2 linked regions of the Bombyx mori genome follow. The protein of the gene in region 1 binds, or shares a complex with, the protein of each later gene. Links are inferred from orthologs where the notes say so. Each region holds a gene or a part of one and is shown on either strand. Other genes may lie near its edges.

What was found.
Region 2: the proteins of mRNA cap-binding protein eIF4E (region 1) and eukaryotic translation initiation factor 4 gamma 3 are in contact, whole or in part, in a crystal structure (PDB 5T48), measured with the Drosophila melanogaster proteins. The link is inferred for Bombyx mori from reciprocal best matches to the Drosophila melanogaster genes eIF4E1 and eIF4G1. Residues at the interface, in NP_001261626.1 of Drosophila melanogaster: Lys80, His81, Pro82, Leu83, Met84, Val113, Trp117, Tyr120, Asn121, Leu174, Asp175, Leu178, Ile181, Gly182, Glu183, Ala184; in NP_001137857.1 of Drosophila melanogaster: Tyr605, Trp610, Pro612, Lys619, Gln620, Tyr621, Arg623, Leu626, Leu627, Leu629, Arg630.

What each region holds. Positions count from the first base shown.
Region 1 is NC_085128.1:2,390,058-2,397,953, reverse strand, and holds mRNA cap-binding protein eIF4E, read right to left. Parts: upstream 4,683-7,896; 5' UTR 4,276-4,682; coding exon 4,246-4,275; intron 3,954-4,245; coding exon 3,775-3,953; intron 3,126-3,774; coding exon 2,948-3,125; intron 2,462-2,947; coding exon 2,374-2,461; intron 1,335-2,373; coding exon 1,177-1,334; 3' UTR 779-1,176; downstream 1-778. Other genes in the region: spermine synthase, read left to right, coding at 5,640-5,921, 6,327-6,435, 6,944-7,066, 7,889-7,896. UniProt on the Drosophila melanogaster protein: Recognizes and binds the 7-methylguanosine (m7G)-containing mRNA cap during an early step in the initiation of protein synthesis and facilitates ribosome binding by inducing the unwinding of the mRNAs secondary structures.
Region 2 is NC_085107.1:10,291,145-10,298,549, forward strand, and holds part of eukaryotic translation initiation factor 4 gamma 3, read right to left. Parts: intron 4,594-7,405; coding exon 4,207-4,593; intron 4,116-4,206; coding exon 3,822-4,115; intron 3,745-3,821; coding exon 3,614-3,744; intron 3,534-3,613; coding exon 3,383-3,533; intron 2,540-3,382; coding exon 2,370-2,539; intron 770-2,369; coding exon 566-769; intron 499-565; coding exon 352-498; intron 274-351; coding exon 189-273; intron 22-188; coding exon 1-21.

The DNA.
Region 1 (7,896 bases):
TTAAAAAATTTAACTTCATTCTATTCCTCCGTTTGTTGTTTATTTTAATCATACTGCTAAATAGTCTCTCAACATCGGCATCAGAATGAGATAATATTAGGAGACTAATCGCAAAATTCGCTAATTCCTTAAATCTGGGCTCTCCTTGAGTTAACACATGAGATTCGAATCTGTACCCCAAATAACATTTATCGTCTACAAAATCTTGAATATTTTGTGTAAAAATATCTACTTTCTGGGTAGGCCATATTAGTTTGTCAATTAGTGTATCAATCAAATCTGTCAATTTGCCAATTAATTCGAGATTTCTGAATTAATATGTAAATTGTGCTAATGGTTAAGTTTCGTACCTCACCACTGACTGAAACAACAAAAGACACTAGAAAAAACCACTAGCCACTAATATCCGAATTTGTCCGCTAAAAAGTGAGTCTAAACCGCCAGATCTAGTGGAAATTCCACTCAGTTGGCAACACAGCTACCACTACTGCTGCTTACTTCCGCGTTATTGAGAAATTGCAGCATTGAACATCAATAAGGCTATATTACCACAATAATTTACGTCGGTACATACAAGTCCATTGTGATCGTGTCCAAAAAAAATATGTTAATGTAAAAAAGTAATTAAAAATAATATAAAAATAAAACTACATTCATTTTAGTACTTTTTTATAAATACCAAAATTTCAGCACAGATAATAAACCAGTGTTGTGAACTTATAATTTTAAACATTTTAAGAAAAAAAAACAATTAAGTGTATGTTAAACGCATACAATACAAAAGCGTGCAAACATCAACATGAGTGTTAAACATATTATACCAGTTTCCTCACGATAATTTCATAATCTTCCAACATCGCGGGTAGCGTACTTAACCACTTACAACTATGTGACCTTACATACCGACACTCGAGCTTGAGTTTAGTACAAAATCAGACTTTTAACATTCTACAGCTCACGAGGACTATATCATGTCACAATGTAAGATAAATACGACTATAAAAACTAAACAAATACTACTTCTGTTAAATATAATTTTATACTATTATTGTAGTTACGTAAATTCAGTTTATGGGATGTACTGAATATATTTTATTCCATTAAGTTAAACTACTTCAATTAAATACAGTCCGTCCCATAAATCTGCAGATACAAACAAGATATGTAATGCCAAAACTAAACAGTGTATAGATTCTTGGTCGCAGAACTATGCTTAACCATTGTGTCTCTGTGTACTTGGAAACCAATCTTGCCGTGTATCCCTAGCTGTTCTTTCAGTTTTTTCCCAATTTCAATAGTCGCATGCTGCTTCATTGCATCAGCTGTCCAAATAGCTGTTGAAACAAATATTAACAAATTGAAATGTTTAATTTAGAGAAATTAAAGTTACTAAAAATAGTGCACTATGCAGGAAGAGATGAAATAGTAATGTTATTTTCTACTTCACCACAACCAGATTATTTGTCCACCAACATTATTTGTTTGCTAAGATATCACAAATGACTCTTGATCAAGTACAATCATTTTATGTAAACAACCATCTCTGGAAAACATCCTTGTGTCATGCAAGGGTATTTAAAATTGTGTTTTTAAAACTGAATTCTGTGCATAAAACATTATTTACATTGTTAGATGTTATTATGTCAGGAATCCCCGGCAGTGCAAATATCCATACCCCATTCTGATGAAATATAGCATAAGGAGATAAGTATGTGATAAGATAAATGATAAATCATTTAAGATAATACACATTTAATTTTGACTAATTTTCACTAAGATGACCTCGAAGACTCTCATAAACTCTCATTATTGTAATTGTATAAAAGCCTACAACAAAGAGACATGAGACAAATTCAGATGAATTTTATCTTTCAGTCTGTATATTTTTTTATTTATTCCTCTGCACTACAGATATTTTAGGGTTTATAAGGATCCATAATGTTTTAATCATTATCAATTACAAGCTAAACAAATTAAACTAATACATATTGTGATGATAAACAGTTTCCTTTGATACTTCAGTATTGTACGTGCTCATAGATAATAAGATAATTATATGCACTACTGCATATATAATTAGAGAACACAGTACAGCAGATAGTTTAATTTATTTATATTTGTGCATAGTATAATACAATTTAAATTCACAAATCACTTTAGATAATTCTATAATGTGAGTTGTGCATTTACTAATTATGTTTGTTTAACAGATGCTCTGTTAGTGTTTGGCTCGTTTTCCAACATGACCTTGGCTAATGTCATTACTTATTATTCATGTTAACAAGAACACAACAAAACCCTCTAGATATTCATAGAACTTAGAATGTTATGTAATTTCACTAAGAAAATGAAGATTTTTATTTTGAAACTTACCAATTTTATCTACTTTTGGTCTGACATTAACAACAGCACCACAAATCTCATCTGAATTCTCGAAATTTTCACCAATTAAAAGAAGAACCTGAAAATTAAATACAATATCTTCAATTTTAATGCATCTCACACACATCTCTGGTTCCTTGTTGTAGGTGCTTACTGGTCACATCCTTCCACACATCCACATTACTTCAAACAAAGATCAACAGAACATAGAGCCAAGCATACAGCTTGTAGGTAATGAGATAGGAGATGATCCTTCATCTCCTTCCTACAATACAGTTTCTATCTGTAACTGTATTCTAATATTCAACAGGATTTGAGTGGGCAGCCTTAACTATTTGAGGCATGATTTGTGGTTTCTTAGAAACCAATGATCTTAAATAAGCTACAACATCTTATTAAATGTTTATAAACATGGGATAGTGCAATCAAGCTAATATTCACTCACAAACATGTGCTCAGAAAAACTTGTCATATTTTTAGAAAATCTTTTCCTTTCATTATGTCAAACTTGATACTCAAAAAAGAAGTATTCTAAAACGGTATATAATAAAAAAGTTTAACATACCACATCTAACCAGAACCTATCTAAATCAGTAAAGCGTTGTTTTTTCTCAAGACTGATAAGCCATCTTCCTCCCATCTTGTTAGCATCGTCTTCCCACATAGGACGAATGCCTTGCTTGAATACTGCATAGTCATGACCTTGGCGAAGTTCTGACGGTAGCTTAATATGATGGTACAATCTGTAATGTGCAATAACAGTTTTGCTTAAATAAAAACCTACTAATTACTAAATTGACTACTCAGAGTAATTTTTGGCATTTTCTTATTATAATGGAATGAATCTATAGAATTAATGAATGAATACATGTTGACAAAAATAGAAACCATGTTTAGCACAGGGGGCTACGACAGACACATTGTATCTGCCATTTGACATCTATCAGTAAGCAATGAGTAGTCACTGGTTCCATAAGTCACTCATTATTTTTGATGTATTTCTTAAAAGTTTTTTGTGCAAAAACCCCTCAATGATTTTTTGAACATACTTGATGTATTGGTGCGCGAAAGGGAAATATGTCATGGACCTATGGCATCCATCACTCCATTCTACATGTTAGATACATTATTATTATAGAAAATATAACAAGTAAATAAAAGAACAGATGATTAAATCGACAACTAATCACATTAATTATAATAGATACGTAATAATTAGCTCTATAAGAAAGTGTTCTAGTTTAATCTTGAGCAAAATTAATTCTGTTTAAGTTCAGGTTCCATCAGAATTTACTTTCTCATCTAGGTTGCAAATGTATAGAAGTTGCATGAATGTACTTCTAAAATGTATGAAATTTATAATTTACTTCTGTAACCGGCATTTTCCTTTACCTCCAAAAGTCTTCAACTGTGTCGAATGTAGTCAACTCAATAAGATTCTCCTCCCATGTTTTGTTTCGGTCATTGTCGTAAAACCAGAGACTCCACTGGTTTTGTAACGGGTGCTTGATCAAAAATTCAGGGGGCACCTCCGCGTTACTGTTGGTCTTCGTTTCAGTGGTAGTAGACCCCTTAAAAACACAGGTCATTTTTATTAGTGAACCTAACCTAAAAAAAATATTGTTATTTTCGTAGAAGTCGTTTAACGACTTAATCCGGAATATTTTTACACAGAAAACCACTCGAGCGAGGTAAAGTTATAATTTATACTTGAAAACTAGACAATTATGCTAACAAATGTAACAGTGAAAGTTAACGAAGCCACATCAGCAAATTGCGGCAAAATTATAGGTTTTACGATTGTATAACCGGCAAAACGAGGTAGAAAATTACTTTGTTTTCTTAATAATTACATCTACCCACCTCTACTTCTTCTGTAGTATTTCCAGCCATATCTTGAGAGGATAACGATGCAAATTTCCTACGAAAAGGAGCGACAGAGTCAACGGGGTTGCCAAATCAGAAATCGCGTAAATTATTTATTATTTTATAAAGTGGATGTGCGCTAATCATGGTCTAGATTTATTTAAGGGTGTCATTTTTTTGTCTACCTATGTTGGTGATCTCATGGGATTATACCAGCTTCACGAAGCGAGTAGGCGAGTTCACGGGGCTAAGCCTGGTGAATTTGCTAACACTAGCCCTATTAAGAACAGTGCTTCGCAGTATCTACCACCAGATCGGAAACACGACCCACTGAGAAGATTCGGCGAGAAACTCAGTGGGCTGATTAACTCAGGGTTAATTTGCTCGCCGAACCCTTCGTCGCATTCGAGAGGAGTGACGAGAATGGTCACCAGTACTGGGGGGTGCCTAAAAGCACCGATAGTGGATCGCGAGGATCCGAAATGACGTGTTTTGGGCAAATGGAAAATATTAAATCACGGCATTTCCATCATCACCTTATAAACACAGGCCTTTTCCGAAGTTGGCTACAGTGACCAGTCGAGCAGATCTCGTGACCTTCACCAGGTCGGTCCTTCGAACCGTTGTGAAAGGCCTACCCACAATGCGCCTTACAGCGTGCGATTGCCATTCGAAAACTTTTGAGCAGAGTAGCCACCTGTCTTACCAGCAATATACCAAAGCATAGCTGTGAAAAGTTGTTTCGCTGCTGACCTCTATTTAGAACTAGCTAATAGAAATCATCGTATGATATCCTTATCTATGCACAACCTCTTTTTTTAAAGGGATTTTATGACCTGGTAACTAAGACCATTAAGTCTTATTTTAATTTATTTTCTTATGTTTATGAAAAATGATAATATGGAGTCAAATGAAATGAAATGAAAATGAAACGAAATGAGATGAAATATAACCTCAGTAAAATGGTGATCATTTACTGAGACTTTTTCAGTGGACTTTTTGGAGGATCCCGAGAAGCTACGTTCAGCGGCTTTGTTTCATTTTCCCACATTTGTGCACTTTCTCAGATACTAAACAGTTAATAAATCACCGTTATTACACATTTACACCTGAAGAAACACTAAATAGACAAAATAAAACAAATCACACAACTTCACTTCTCGAGTTCCCGCCAAAAAGGCATGCACAACCCTATGCGAGCACAGACCGGAAATAAATTCATAATAAAATTGTAATTTGTAATTCACAATTCACCAAAGTGTATAATCTATGCAATTCACATTATTGATCGGTTTCAAAACTCCGTGTGCGTCGTCTGGTTTGCCGGCTTAATCGACGGTTAATAATTAGATTATACAGTAACAAAACAAAATTTAATACATCACTGTAAAATGTCAGTTCACAATATCTTATTGGATTTCTCGATTGAAGCGGCCCGTCTGGAAGATGAAAACGGCCAAAAAGATATCTTTGGACAATTGGAAACTCTATTAAAAGAATATATACCAAATTTGATCCTAGCCACCGACATAAAATTGGAAGATGGTTCATTGAAATTATTAACCGGTAATAAAGGAACGACTGTATCCGTTAGGATGTTTGACCGAGGTTTCATTACTTTAAATATTGAATTTTACAAGGGCGGAAATGAGGAGTCCGTGATCGATCACAAGGTGAGGATTATATCGATTGAATGTATTGAGTGCTATTATTTTATTTTGGCACATTATATTATTATTGTAAAGTCTTTGCGAAACTCGGTAGAAAAAATAAGAAGTACTAAAAATAGTTTAACCATTTTATCATATGATCTTTTCTATGCATTGTTAAAAATACTAAGATTTTAATTTAAAAAAAATTAAGCATTAACTGAAGGACCAATTTTTTTATGGACTACCTTAATTGCATAAAAATTTGCAAGCCTTCAAAGTCGTTGTAATACTATCTTGCTTATTTTAATGTAGAGGACAGTTATTAATTTAATGGAAGTTATACCTCTACCGGGCAACTTATTTGCAATTAACTCATTCAAAGAATCCTGAAAACAATAAAAATATAATCTGCAATTTTGTTCACAGACTGCCAAAGAACTTGAAAGCAAAATTAAAAAATATATTTCTAGTATAAAGTCACAAACATATATTCCACTAAAGAGATGTTTGTTTGGTAGATATTATCCTAGTTCAGGTATGTAAATGGCACTAATTTTCTATTGATTAATTTCAGGTCGTTCATAATTTTTGATACCTCCTACTCATTCATTTCTAGCAGTGCATGCAAGCTCTCAATTTCTAAAAAAATTAAAAAATTTCAATATTATGTTCCTTAAATAACCCTCCTTAAAAATCTAACAAAGATACTATGAGTACATAACGAGAAAATCTTTAGTTCCTCCTGATAACTTCAAAGCCCACCTGGTATTAATCAATAACCTTGGTATGAGGTTCGATTTTACCTGAAAACTGCTATCTTACTGGATAACTGCTTTAGACCATAATACACAATTGCTTCTCAATAGGAAAATGGTACCACCTCACAACAGGCCAGAGTCTAGTGCTCAGATTTAAAGTTAGGTAGAAATAAGGAAGGAAAAGACAAAATGCCACCACCACAGAAAGACAATGAAGAAGCCTTATAGCATTACTTTAAATGGCACATAAATATTTTTTTTATCTTATGAATTTTAAATCTATAGATGGACGTCTCCTCGAATATGATATTGATGAAGTTGTATTTGATCAAGAATCTCCATTCCAAAGAGTTCAAATTGTTCATTCTAAGTCATTAGGAAACATGTTAGTGCTGGATGATTTACAAAGTAAGTGTAATTGACTTTTTAAAATTGTGTACAGTAAAATTTTTGCATTAGTAAAATTGATTAATCTCTGTAAAGTGATTAGATTGCTTTGCTTAAAACAGCTGTCTGGTTTATTTAAAAGTGACCCCATAAAAAATTGGCCAGTGGTTTTTTTTAATGGACTGGAAGGAAATTCCGGTGTCACACAAGTTAACTTAAAAAAGTCCAGACGAAAACAACAACTAAAATATGATAAATATTTATAGATGTAAACTTATTCCCAAAAATAAAATGGAAAAGTGGCTTTAGTGGGAACCCACTCCTATATTCATTGTTTCTTAAACTGCTAGACAAAATCAAGATTGTGGGAAGGACCAAATCAAATGAAATTACAGGATAGTTTCTAAAAAATAAATTTAAATACAATTCCAATCTCAATATGATAATCATCCCATCATAATCAAAATCCATACTAAATTCCCATATATTGAATTCTCCATAAATTTTGTATTCTTCTGTTTATAATTTTATTTTTTTTATTTCCTTTTCTTGTTTTGTACAAATATATTTGCTAACTCATTTTTACGAACAGTTATTGGACTGTTGGGGACTTGTTGTCAATAACTTGATAAAATCTCAAAAAATGATTCCCCTAGCTTAATCCTTATTTAGATTTGTTCTCAACCCTTCTCATAATTTGATCCACCCTTGATATTGCGTAATATTGGGGCATGATTTGTCTCTCACGGAAATGAATAATTAAATAGATTAAATCGACTTAATTAATTAAATTTTAAAATGCCATAGTGTGTTAAAAAAGTTTACACTTTTATTTATTTATAGATATCTCA
Region 2 (7,405 bases), on another chromosome or scaffold:
TCTTTAATTTGTACAATTCACCTAAAACAAGTAAAAATACCACAAGGTAAAGTCATCAGTTATCTCCAATAAACTTCATAACAATACAGATATTAATTCTAATTATTATTACATTTAAATGTTGGGAGTTTTATTTTGTCCTACAATGCCAATTGCTCAATTATTTACATATTTTCATCATTACATACCAATAAATCGTACATTTCCTACAGATCTCATCCTAATACGCCTATGCTCCTCTTGTATCATTGCTTGTATTTCCTTTTTCTTAGCCTAAAAATAATTATAATAATAATGATAATTAATATTAGCATAAGTAAATAGCCTTAACATAAATTGATAAATACATACAGGATCAGAGCATTCTGTCATTTCTTTCTCTAGTTTCATTACTTGTTCATTACTCTTATCGGTTTGAAACTGATTTTGGCATTTATTAATAATGAGGGCTCTGAAATTGACACATTCATCAGGTCTCGTTGGGTTGTCAGCAGGAACCTGTAATTTGTTTCTCATTAGTATTAAATGGATTAGATCTTAACAAAAAAAAATTTCGCTCTCTTACCTTCAGTTTGGACAGCTTATGGCACATGGCAGCATAAGCTTTGGAAAAATTAGGCTCTTCAATTGCTTTTTCAAATACCAAATCAATAACTCCTTCGAGTCGTTTTTGGTTGTTAATATCAAGAGCTTTCACTTTATCCAGTAAAGTGTCGAATTTCTGGGGTGTTAACTTATTCAAAATCCCTCGGAATTTCTTATATAGTTCCTAAAATTATATATTGAATTATTATTTATAAGGGTTAATTAGTTTTATGTAAATGAATAAAACATATAATTTCATTATATAAGTTAAAATAAACTCAAGGAAGTTATGGTATTACTGGATAAGCTATTTATTATATGATTAGTGGCTTGTGAATATCCTAAAAGTTTCATGTGAATGCAATTTTTTGGCACATATCTTCTTTAGTCAGCCATGACATTTTTATGTGTGACAATTGCAAATGTTACTGAGATGTTAATACTAAAAGTAATTAAACAAGTAGCATGCATAAATGGTATTTTACAGGCCATGTTTTAATTTTTTTTTAAACATGTCATATGAGTCGACTATTATCAAAGCCGGCAATGTGACTTTTGGATAATTATTGGTAAATCAGAAAAACGAATTATTGACTTTATATTCCATTGGTAGTCACAAAACTCTTCTGAACGACATCTTAGATAAATAACAGGTTAAGTATTAACCTTTATTTAATGCAGGTTTTGAACAGTATTCTTTGAAGGAGACGATTATATTCAAATCTGTATTGAAATATCAATAATTTTTTTTTGTCCAAATGCACAGATTGCCACCTTTGATCATAGACGACTCATATATACTTACATAGAGCTCTACAATATACTTACATAGAGCTTTACAGGTCAATAAACATAATAACAATTTTCATAAAACATTTAGCAACCCATTTTCGGTTATGCTTATGGCATTGTAGATTATGTTTGATATTTAAATATATTTGTATAACTTTTATTTTAATATTAAAATAATACAACATGAAAAGGACACTTATTTTTTTTAGACAATACTGCAAAACATTAGTGCCAATTTTGACCACATGCAAAAGGAGTATTATCTGGTTTAGCTCAGAAAGGTGACAGTGACAAAAAATAGTATTACATTCATATAATAAAGAAACTAGGGGACATAGGCACCAAGTGTCTTACGGGCCAACAAGTTACCAACTTCTCAATAGAAAGGCTGTTCTCAAAAGTGGGTTTGGGCTGTGATAATGTTCAACTGTAGGTGTGCTAACATTCTTTAAAATTATAATTCCTCAAAGATTACATTCAAAAGTACTCAAATTGTAAATACACTATGGTATAATACTAATAAAAGAATCAATAACAACCCTGCCATAATAAAAGTAAACCTTAAAAACGTCAACCTGTCAAAGTTTGGAATATCATTGAAACAACCTTGCTAAGCCTTGTAATTGACCAAATTATAACAAGAATTAGATAGAAGAGCGCCTCAAGATCTACTGTATATTAATAAAATTTGACATGTCACTAAAATTATGCACACAATGCTTATGAATTTTTCAAAATCCCTGTTCAAAGTCCCAGTACAGACCACAGTATTTTATAAAAACACATTCATATGGTCACAGTGGAACTAGAATATTCAAAGTCAGTTATTAAAAACTTCATTTGATCATGTAGAAATGACGGTTTTTTCTTTAGATATAAGTAATAAAAAAAAGAAAACCTCGATTGAAGTTAGGCTAATAAAATTAAAAAAAGGTATTTGATTAGTGCATTATTAAATTTCCATAATATGTGAATTGGTGACTAATTAATACCTGCGTTTTCACTTCTTCTTCATCTGCATTTTCTGCTCTAACATATCTAGTAGGTCGCCAAGCAGAATCAGACTCATTTAATTTCACATCATCATTTAGACAAACATGAATAACAGGTTTGTGGGGATTGCTACCACTAGCTGTAGCAGGTAATTTCATGCTTCCACGTCCTATAAAAATGTTTCCTTCGTTAATTTGTATTTAGTTTCAACAAAGACTAGGCTTTTAACGGAGGATACACACCAAGCGAATGAATACAAATAATTACATACTAGTGGATGTCGCATTTCGCCAATAGATACAAAACATTTTTTTTCCGGGAGTTTTGTGATTAAATCACACAGCATCATGATAAAAACATGAAAGTTATGTGTTTTCCCATATTCATCACTATTGTTTTCAATCTTATTATTACAAAATATATTTTAACATTAATTAGTTTGCTTTCAATTATTTTGAAAAGACATGCTGTAGAGCTCACCGCATCTAATGATCTTGACAATGTTTAACAAGCTCACTGTGAAAGTGGCTACTAAAACACATAAACATCACCATATTTGCCACAATCCACATCAGAACATGAGGTCAGTCTCAATGATATTGTATCACGGTTGTCCCAACCTTCAAATTAGAATACATGTCAGCTTTGCGGCATAGATAGGATAATATACCTACTATTGCTGTATGCTTAGAATACAATGACCAAGAAATACACAATGTTTACTAATTTTAAAAGTAAGATTTTATTACATATTCTTTCTGGAATTCTTTGTGAAAATATTTAAGACATGTTCTCTTTTAAAAATTCATAGCCTACAGATTTGAACCCAATTAGTTCCTCATTACTGGATACAAATACTGTAAGAGAACTGGTGCTATCCCTTAGATCAGACTACAAAAATTATGAATTCGCTACTGCTAAATTGTCCAAACGTATGGATTTTAATTTGTTTGTATTTGATTCTCTTCATTCGCTTAGTATGTATTCAGCATAATTATTTTAAATAACTTACCACTTGGTGTCATATTTCTACCTTCTCTCTTTATATCACGAGGAGTATTGCTTCTTGAACCCAAGCCAGAACTCTTACCAAAGGGGAAGAAATTATCACTTGATGGTCTTGAAATATTAGCAAAAGGCAGGGGTTCCAACATTGGTGTAGTCTGTGTAAAAACGTGTGTCATCAAGTTATGTGATAGTTTGCATTTGATGCCTTTTCATGAATACTCTGAAAATTACTTACTCGTATGACATTGCAAGCTTCCAACAACGGAGCCTCTGGTTTGTTTTTGGACAGAGGATCTTCCTTTATTTGTTTCAAAAAATCAATATCATAACATTTCTTTCCAGATTTATTCAGAGGAGACCATTGATCTAAAAATTAATGAATTTGTGGTCAATGCATTAATTAGTTTTCACTAAATTCATTATTAGTGAAGAGAATTACTGACCTTCACTATACTTGTATTTAGGAATAAATACAGGTTGTGCTGGTGGAGCCTCAATTTTCTCAGTTGTTGGTTTAGCTTCAGACTCCTCATTCAAGGTGTCTTCTATATTAACTACTTTATCAGTCTCATCTTTACCATTTTCATAGGACTCTGATTCTTTGTTATTATTGGCCATTTTCTTTGATTTTTTGTTATTATTCTTTTGATTTTTTAAGGCTTTATCATTTTTATTCAGGTCTTCTTTAGTAGTTTCGCTTAAAGGTTCAGTAGTATTTCCATTAGCTTTGTCAGGATCTGTTAATAAAGTTAACATATTATTTAGATTACACATATCCTACAATTTAATTATTGGCTAGATTAGCAGAAATAAAATTAATTTACATACCTGTAGCCTTACTATTAAGATTAATATCTTTCATTTTACAGTCAGATTGTTGTTGGACCCGTAAAACACTTGATATACTTTGGGTCAACTTTGTCTGAGCATCAAATGCACTGGATGTTTCTTTGTTATCAAGTTCAGAGCCTGGTATTTTAATAATATTTTCAAAACTTGATAAAGGCTCTTGAGTTATTTTAGGATTAGTATTATCAATGTGAGTCTTCGTTTTATTCGTTAACACCTCAGTTTTAGGTTCAACAACTGTAGTTTCAGTTTCTTGGTTGATAATTTTATTAACAATTTCTATGTTTTTCGTTGATTCTTCACTTATAATTTTTTGACTAGTTGGAGGGTTGGTAGTATTTGATAAACTATCAACTGAACTAATCACTGCAAAATGTGTTTTAATGTCAATATTAGAAGTACTACTAGCACAACTTTGTTACTGTTTATAACAAATTTAGATTAAAATTACAATTACAGTTTTTGCTAATAATAGGCATATTACAGCTTAGTAACCTAGTGGTATAAGGAGAAGACAACTTAGGGCATAAGTGGTATGGATCTTACTGGAACTTGTGGACACTTCAATCAAGGCTACAGTGCCTACTTATAATATGTCATATCACATTTGTAGAGCATTAGAATAGTAGAGAGAATTTTCTGTTTACAACATAAAACATCTAGGGAAACACTAGCTTGGCCTTTGTAAAACTTCGAAACATTTATCAATCACAAACAGTGTAAATATAATAATATAAATAATCTAATTAAATTTTTTTTTTATGTTAAATATTATACAACAAAAATATACTTTTTATTTACTTTGCCATTTTTGATTTCTATAAATTACAATTAGATCGTTTTCTTGCTAAAAAGTACATAGTGACAGTTTAAAAGACCACATGTTGATTTTTTTTAAATCTGTTACCTGTTAGTTTCTAATTTTATTAGTATCCATGGTGTGTTAGTGGTCAAACTTTAAATTATTTAGTTGTACTGTTGCATTTGAATTTAAATTTTCTATTTCAAAAGTAGACATACGAAACCAACTTCTTTTAAAAGCACGAAAGTGATCAAACAGGAATAAGCGATTACTTTCAATTCGTCTGACAAAATGGAGGTTACTTGTAAATCAAAGTTAAATGACACACTTATATGTATACTAATACGAAAGCTGTCAATATTACGTGGTCGTTATTGAGGCGGTGGATACAGGATCAAGTATCTAAAATAACGCCGAAAGCTAATGTATATGATAATAAGTTCACGTCTATTTTATTTTGAGTAGTTTAGACATGCAAAATATGAAAACGTTAAATAAAATGGCAGAAAGCTTTTGCAGTTGATTTCGCATATCTCGCATATCACTTTTAAAGAAGCAAGTACCTATTCTAAAAATAGAGACGTGAGGTATTTCCACGTGGGAGTTTCTTGCACTGTACCTGAATATCAGACTTCGCTATGTGGCACTGACAGTTAAATTATATCACAGCTCCTAGATCCTTAAATCATTTACTAAAACTTCACTGAATTAGGATACGTAACGATAACGTAGCAATATGGTAAATGAAAGTATCCAAAAGGTCACTCAAGGATCTAGAATGTCTGACTTTTAACACTCTTAACACTTGTAGTATATATTTTTTTTAGTACTTAGTTTGAAATGTTACTCAAAATGTTAAATTAACCCGAATAAGTTGGCCGAAGATTGATTTACTTATGTTTTAAAATTTATAAAAGGCAGCCATACTCAACGTGACTGTGAAGTAAAGGCCGCCATATTGAATTGCTTCAATTTGCTTCCATGCGGCAAAAGAATTATGCAGCTAGTGCTGTGCGCAAGTTCGTAGGAATCGATTCAGCTCGAAACCACGTGATGATCGAATAAGTAGATAATTTTAATAAATTTACTTATGTCGAGTCTATAGTTAAGTATAAGTTATAGTTAGCCAATGTTTCAATATCTTGTAATACAAACTAAATTATGTTTTTACTGTTTTGACGATCTTAGTATTTGTAAAAATAAATCAATAAATCTATTTACATATTTCGTTTTTAAACAGTATCTATACTTCTTAATCGATTTACGAACTTCTTAAAATCTCTACTAATTTAATAAGATTGTGAACCAATCAATTAACTATGTATGAACTGACATTCACTGCTAATGTAAAACGCTAGATAGAAAGTAAAAAGTTTAGATGAGGTATTAATTCTCAGTTTCATGAAATTAATATTTAATGTTTTATTGACATGATTATAAAGTGTGAAGATTTAAACTCGATAGCTAAAATCAATCGCACAGACGTCGATGGTTTAATCGATAACTCAGATTAAATCAAGTATCAATCACTACAGTTGGTTGAAACCTTGATATGACATCTGACAACAACTGTCAGTATGACATTTCGTCTATTGTTGTTCGGTCTTTCCTCTGTAGCCATAGTAGAACACCTATGATTTCAAACTTAAATGTCTTCTAATTTTAGTTGTTATAACTCTAAGATCAAATAGTTGTTAGTGATAGACTATTGATAGATAATTTTGATCAAATTTCACCACATTACATAACGCTTATTTTAATGATCAATCTTGAAATATTATGTACTATTAGTTTGTACATATTTTTTAGGAGATAGCTAAATTGTTATTTATTCTATTAACCCATTCAAAAAGGAGATTAATAATTGTTCAATTATATCAAGCTTTCGCAATCGCTTTAGTAGCAATAAATTTAAATGCATGTTTTTTCCCCAACCTATTAACAGGTAGCCTAAGATGCTATTAAGTACCTAGTATGTATGTAGCCAGTCATATATTTTAGTCATATCATAGTCATATCTCTTATATAAGTGTTAAATTGATGTGATTCATGATTTTTGTACTAAAAGGGTAAAATGAAAAATAAGAGTTTCACAACCGGCAAGTATGTTACCTCAAATAACCATAGAGTACTTGGAAACTAATAGCATTTCACTTTGTGTGTACTTTTAATTTTATCTTCATAAATAATATAAATTATCATTATTTTACATAACTACAGAAAGATTAAATATTTTGTGTCACATTAATTCATTACTGTGGTTAAATTTAATGTGTCTATCAATAGCAAGATCTGTCTCCCTACTATCTCTACTAATCTCCAACATACTACAACATAATACATTATTTTGGAAATTAACTACTGTATCAATCAATT